Astyanax mexicanus: one gene and its partner. The protein of the gene in region 1 interacts with the protein of each later gene in a pairwise test. Links are inferred from orthologs where the notes say so. Each region holds a gene or a part of one and is shown on either strand. Other genes may lie near its edges.

Region 1 (3,756 bases):
CACAAGCACAACTTCCTGTTTACCCTAAGATTCAGATGAAAAGAAACAGTAAATGAGATGAAGAAAAGTCAGAAAGAAAAGTAAAGTGAAGCATTGAGAACAAATTGTTAAAAGATGGATAGAAAGAAAAGAGGGGGAAATCGGCAGCAAAAATGAGCCGCTCAAAAATAACTAAGTGTAGCTAAAAGTTACTTCCACTGATTGGAACTGAATTAAAAACAAGTGAACAGGGGGGATTCCACCAAGCAGTAGTGTGAGAGGGGGATGGAGAGAGAAAGACAGAGAGTGTTGAGTGTCAGGCCTGATATCACCTGTTCTTCTTCCACCTGCTCTGTTCCCTCAGTCAAACCTTCAGAGAACCATGGGTGTAAAACGTGTGCCACACCATTACTACTACTGCACACACGAAGCCTGTGACATAACCAGTCCAAAGATACACATGAGTATGATCTCTGTGCTTCCAGGAGGCCTGAAATGGAGAGCCAGTGCCAAACCATTGGATTAAGTGTGCTCCTTAAAGACACATCTGAAAGATATCATCATATATGAGGGTATCATTCTGAAAATATTCACTTCAGATCATAACTGACACTCATAGCCTACTACTTAAAGTGAGCAAACCTCATCACTTCAGTCTTAGCCTGGCTGACCTAAAATGACTTGATTCTGACTCAAACTAGGCCCACCCTACTGTGCTAGACTAGGACAACCAGCCAGTGTACAAAACAAGCAAATAAACAAAACCCTCATTGCTAACAGCTAGGCTACCTGACGCAGCTCTTTTCTTAAAAAGCTAACTACACCACTAACGACAACAAACACCTCTCTGACTTTCTTCACCAGACTGGACTGACCCAAAGCAAACTGACATGTGACCAGACATTCTGTGATCCTGAGACCACTGCTGATGGGTCACTCTCTCAGACTGCTAGAAGCTAGCTTTATTATTATTAAACTGGAGGAAAAACATCCAATAACAAGCCTTTCTGTCCTGAGACGACCTATGTAACATGGCAGAAACAGTTAGAAGGCGGTTTTGTTTTGTACCCACCTCACCTAGTTAGTTAGTTAGCTAGCAAATTAGCAAGTTAACTAACCTAACTAGCTAGCATGTAGTATTTCAGTGTTTGGATACTGAGGAAGAGGGAGAGGAGAAGAAAAATAAATTCGGGAGGAGTCCTGCCAAACCAAACCAACGTGCCCCACAATGGCTAACATAACCTAGATAGATAGCTGTTAGCAAGCTAGCCAGCCAAATCTGACCAGTGGAAACAAATGATAACACATAGGTTAGCAGATACAGGCCAGGAGCTGCTGAGATACATCACCATCATAATTATCATCATCGTTATTATCATCATGTTTTTCTTGTTTGGCCCTTCTTTAGAAGACTGTAAAACCAAACCTCGTGCCATTCATTTATGCATTTAGGGGCCTTCTTGGTTAGAGCTTAGAGTAGTGCAAGTAAGTGCATGTAGCTAGTTAGCTAGATAGCTAACCTAGGTGTCTCAGATGAAGCTGCAGACTCACACATTTGATTGAGGACAGCATGTTGGCTAGCTTAGCTGAGTGTGTTCCGGTCTATTTACCTTATAGAAGGCCCCGTTAGAGCCGCGAACCTCCACCGCCAGTCCGTCCATGTTTGCCGGCGCAGCGCCGCTTTGAGAGTCGGGAAGCACCCCCAGCTTCGCCGGCCCTCCGCCGCTCTCCGGCCGCTTGAGGATTTCCAGTGTTTCGGGTGGAGAGGCAGGGGGTAGAGATGATGGGTAGAGAGGGGGAGGCTGAGCAGCAGAAGGTTTGTTTGGGCAGAAAGACACCCACCCTCAATTGCTTTAACTAATAACTCTACAACCGCTAACTGGCGAACTAACCAGTTAGTTAACTAACTAATCTAACGGTCTTGTTAGCTAGAAGGCTATTTTACCGTTACAGGCTATCGCAATAGCTAGGTTAGCTAACTAGCTAGCTAGCTAGCTAGCTGTTATTCTACTCGGCTGTGTAGCCGGCCACGCTCCCCCCTTGCTGTGGCTGTGCTGGGGTGCTGAGGGTGATGGAGAGGCGGTGTTAGCTAGCTAGCTTTAGCTAGCATATTAACTCAACTAACTAGCTAACTAACTAAGTCAGCGGCTAATTAGCTAGCTAAGCTAGCTATAGCTTTCTTTCTATCACTAGGTTAAAGCTAACACCTCCTTCCTTAGTTACCGGGCTCTTATAGCGAACTTAGCGTAGTTACGCTACGCGGCATGTATCTGTGTTGTTGAGCAGTCTGGACTCTAACGGGCTCCAATCTTCCACACAGCAGCGCTATCAGCTTAAAAAAAATACCCCAAACCCGCTGTGCTCTGCTACCGCCCGGCAACTCCTTTAACCCCCGTTGCCCGTCCCCTCGAACGCACGCCGTCAGAGTGAAAATGCGAGAGTGTGAATGACCCCAAAATGCCCACCCCTACTACTGGAAAGCCCGCCCTCACTGGAGACTAAACCTTTTCATTGGTCAGGGCACGTATCCATCTAAAACTAAGTCCTTCCTCATTGGTGGAGATGCCGGAGGCCGGGTCAACACGAAGTCCAGTGCCTGCGCTGCTGATTGGTGGTAGTTTTTCTTTACTAAATTTAGGCGACTCTTTTCACTATCCACGCCAATTCACAAAAGCCTGTGTGTGCGACGTGTTTCTACTGCTGGGAAAAATAACAAACACGACCTATTTTAGACTGTTTGAGACTATTTATTTTTCATTATGCTCCTTTTCTTATTTTATAGAGATTCATTAAAAGATAAATGCAGCTGAACTGGCAGGTGAACTTGTAGTATTGCCATATGGCCTCATAAAGCCACTCGAACCTTATTTCCACAATGCTGAGGTACATAGCGAATTTGAGAAACACACTTTATTAGCTTAGCGTTTGTTTATTAGATTGGTTACATGGCTATATGGTCATAAATACACACTCCATTAACACGGTAATGGTACTGGACATGTAGTAAGTAACTTACACACTTCATTAACACGGTACTGGACATGTAGTAAGTACACTTTATTAACACGTTACTGGACATGTAGTAAGTACACACTTCATTAACATGGTACTGGACATGTAGTAAAGACACTTTAACACGATACTGGACATGTAGTAAGTACACACTTCATTAACACGATACTGGACATGTAGTAAGTACACACTTCATTAACACGGTACTGGACATGTAGTAAGTACACACTTCATTAACATGGTACTGGACATGTAGTAAACACACACTTTAACACGGTACTGGACATGTAGTAAGTGCCAAAGGTGTCACAATTCATTATGCAGCTATAAGTATAGATACTAGGGTTTAAAGCTGAATTTTGGAAGCTGAATTATGAAAGAATTGTAAAAGTTCTGGTTTTAAAACTGCTTAAAGTATAACATTAAGAACAAAAGCTTAAGCCACACCACTGGAAACTATAGTGCATAACCCCCTCCCAAAAAAAAAACATTTTTCTAAAAATCTTAATGACTATAATGTCATATTAAAATGTTTATGCTGAAAAATCTTGTAAAGTATGTAAAAATATAAATGCTAAAAGACGAAGATAAAGCTATCCGAACAATGTCAAGTTACAGAGTTTATTTCTTTAGTACTTGTTTTTAAGACTGGCTACATGGCTACGTGGTAATAAGGTGAGTAGCTCATGCTTTGGGATATACACTTTGAGGCAATTAGCTAGCATTGTACTGCACATGTAATAAGTACACGGTTCATTAACTAGC
Region 2 (3,756 bases), on another chromosome or scaffold:
CCAAGTCTACTTCATCCCGGATTTCTTCTGTAGGAAAAGACAGTGTGCTCCATGTTGTATGTATTAAGCACTTACTGTTGGGGTCTATGCGGTATGTGTCTGGGTTGATGAGATCGATGGTGACTCCCAGGTCTGGCTCTGTAAGCAGCTCATGTCTGTGCTGTTTTTCCAGTGAAGTGGCTTTATACTGCACAAACCTGCACCAAGACAAACCAGAGTCACTTATTCACACAGTTCAAACAGGATTACAATAAATATTTGTAAATTATTTTAGTTTTGAGCAATGTGGGCTGTCTTACAGATATATACCCACACACTCCTCTTTTCAGGTTGTTGAGTGTGGAATATGGAGCTAGACTAGCATCTATTTCTTCCATTAAAACTCTCAGCTGAAAAAGCCTTAAATCTGCTAAAAAAAAGACTATTATACAGTAAAACACTGTGCCAGGCACAGCACACTGGACAATATTTGTCCTCTTCCCAAAAATACAGGGAAATACTAGCTAGCATTTAAAAAAAGGTCAGAGTGCACCTGGCTCTTAAAGAGAATGACAAGTGACATGCTAATTGGTTTATTTCACATGACGCCCAAAACACCACCATGATTAATAAAGAGAATTTACTAAATGCCTTTATGCATTTCTAGTGGAGAGTGCCATAAATTTAACTTTAACATTAACATTGAGAAAATAAACCTTTAACTATCAAGTGTTAAAAAATAAAAAGACATTTCAGTACCTGTGCTGGTCAAAGGGGTATGTGATGAATTTTGGGTCAAATGGGATATCGGGGAGACTGTTGCAGTATTTGACGCGGCACACGACTCCGGACCTAAAGAAGTAAAAAAGGAAGAAGAAAACACAAACAATGCGTATAAAGAAAAATAATTCATTAAACTGTTACAAAAACCACAATTAATCCAATCTCAAGTTAAAGTCTAAAACAGTCCACAGAAGGTGAAGGGATACAAGTGATACAGTACCTTTCTGGAATGGCTCTGTGTGCAGAGCTCCTGTAAAAAGAAAAAGAACCTCTGAATAAGCATCTGGTTAACTCAGCAGTGTAATAAGGAAAGAAATATCAAACAAGTGTCAGGAAAACAAAATAAAAACTATTCTGAAGCTTGAAATTCTATGTATACTACACATGCTCAGATCTGAATCAGTCTAGAATTTTCACTCGACAATCATCTATCTATCTATCTATCTATCTATCTATCTATCTATCTATCTATCTATCTATCTATCGTTCTATCGTTCTATCGTTCTATCGTTCTATCGTCTCAGTCCCTCCAAAAAAGAAAAAAAGTGCAAAATCTTTAAGGCAAGAGGAATTACTTATTTTCAGGATGCACTGACGCATGTCAAAATACTGAAAAATAATTTGAGACATTTTATATTTATTTATTTATTTATATATATATATATATATATATATATATATATATATATATATATATATATATATATATATAAAAATATATATATATATATATATATAAAAAAAAAAAAAAAAAAAAAAAAAAAACGTTTGCCAATTGTGTAATATTCTAGATGGTATGGGCAATCGCAACATAATTAAGTTAATTCCTCAAAACAACAACTTAAGACCTCATAATAATGACTTAGTATCTCTAAATAAGTTAAAATCTTAAAATAACGACTTACTACCTCAAACTAACCACTTACTATCTTAAAATAACGACTTACTACCTCAAAATAACCAATAACTACCTTAAACTAACCACTTTCTATCTTAAAATAACGACTTACTACCTCAAAATAACTACTTACTACCTCAAAATAAACACTTACTACCTCAAAATAAACACTTACTACCTCAAAATAAACACTTACTAACTCAACATAGCGACTTACTAACTCAACATAGCGACTTACTAACTCAACATAGCGACTTACTAACTCAACATAGCGACTTACTAACTCAACATAGCGACTTACTAACTCAACATAGCGATTTACTAACTCAACATAGCGACTTACTAACTCAACATAACTAATGCCTCAAAAAACAACTTAGTAGCTCAAAATATAATAACTTAGGGTTACTATCTAAAAATAACCACTTATTATCTCAAAATAACATTTAACGTTACTATCTCAAAATAACGTTACTTATCTCACAATAACAACTTAACACATCAAAATAATGACTCAAAACAATGATTCTGTATCTGAAACTAATAAAAATTATATTTACTTAAGCTAAGTTGATTAATTTGATTAGAATTGTCACTGATAGAAAAAGACCTTTGCTAACATGCTAACTTAATGTTAATGCGTGTTAGCTATTTTGGTTAGCATAGCTTTAGCCAACATGCCAGCTACGAGTTTACAGATCCTTATTCAGGGTAAATAAAGGCAAATATGTAAAACAGCGTCATATTTATTAAACTTGTGAGATTAAGTATCTTAAAATAATGGTTTATTTTGTAACCGGTCAAACTAAATAAAGCCCGTTAGTGAAAATGCTTTTTAGCCTTTGAGTTAGCTTAGCTTAGCTTTGCTAGGTTAACTAGTTAGTTAGCTAGCATTAGCGTTAGCTTGTAAGCTAGGTTAGCTATCCAGCGGGCTCCCGGTCAATGCTGTAGCCGCTTACCGGTGTCCGTCCTCCCGCTGCGCTTGAGTCTGAATCGTCGGCGCCATTTCCACAAAAAAACTCCTTTCCTTAATCCGCTTCTCCTGTGTGTTTTAATAAAGTCTAAATCCTGTAAATAAAGAGAATAAATCAAAACCCGGGCTCTGTTTACAGTCTGCTATAGCTGATCCACAGCCACACACTCCTACAGGCCCCCTGTCTGATACCGGTGTTCTGCCGAGTTACGCTACCCGCCGATACGTGCTTCCTACAGCCAATGTGATTAACTACATTTTTAATATTTAATTTTCATGTTTTTATGATTATCATGTTATTTAGTTTTTAAGCATTAAACAACCCGGATCCACTGTCTTTACACTACACAAATGTGTAAACAAAAATGTAAATTAACAAAAGAAATATTTATTAAAAAATAATAATTTTCTAATGACCTATTATTACCATAACTTTTCCCTGATACAGTGATTTACTTTATCCAAAATAATACACAGACTTCTGCTGGGTGCATACTTTTAATGTTGTGTATCTTACCCTCAAATATACAGTAGGGTTGCACAGAACACCGACTGAACACATATTCTAGAGGTTTTCAATTTGGTAAAATCAAAGAAACTCATCGTTTTTAAGTGGTCTATTATTTTTATTTCTTTTTTTTTTTTTAAATATGTAGAAGTTTATTTTCACTTTACAATTACTGCCACGTTGTGTTGGTCTATTACACAAATGTATTTTATTAAGATTTTGGGATAAATGTAGAAAAGTGCAATGAATATTGAATATTTTTTCAAGGCACTATAGACTTTTCTTATTAAATGTGGAGATACAAGTTTTTAGAATGACTACAGTTGTGGATACTTCTACTTATATCCTATACATTTTTTATATTTAACACTATTGGTATTAATATTTTTGATATTTATTTTTTTCTTTTAATGCTTTTTGTCCAAATGTCGTAGATACTTATTTCATTATTTATCTGGAACTTTTAAACTGTTTTGTTGTTTAAGAATTCATTATTTTCACTTATTAAAAAAAAAAAGAATTCATTCTATTTAGATTTGATGATAACCTTTTATTTTCTAGATATTTCTATAAAATACTTTATAATACTTTATATAACATTTTCATTTTTAATAA

What was found.
Region 2: the proteins of fxr2 (region 1) and paf1 interact in binary tests that used the Homo sapiens proteins (3 or more experiments, as listed by UniProt). The two-hybrid records come from large-scale screens. The link is inferred for Astyanax mexicanus from reciprocal best matches to the Homo sapiens genes FXR2 and PAF1.

What each region holds. Positions count from the first base shown.
Region 1 is NC_064415.1:16,171,832-16,175,587, reverse strand, and holds the start of fxr2 (fragile X mental retardation syndrome-related protein 2), read right to left. Parts: upstream 2,420-3,756; 5' UTR 1,641-2,419; coding exon 1,590-1,640; intron 1-1,589. UniProt on the Homo sapiens protein: mRNA-binding protein that acts as a regulator of mRNAs translation and/or stability, and which is required for adult hippocampal neurogenesis. Specifically binds to AU-rich elements (AREs) in the 3'-UTR of target mRNAs.
Region 2 is NC_064425.1:7,496,912-7,500,667, reverse strand, and holds the start of paf1 (RNA polymerase II-associated factor 1 homolog), read right to left. Parts: upstream 2,850-3,756; 5' UTR 2,667-2,849; coding exon 2,620-2,666; intron 1,013-2,619; coding exon 983-1,012; intron 832-982; coding exon 739-831; intron 198-738; coding exon 76-197; intron 1-75. UniProt on the Homo sapiens protein: Component of the PAF1 complex (PAF1C) which has multiple functions during transcription by RNA polymerase II and is implicated in regulation of development and maintenance of embryonic stem cell pluripotency.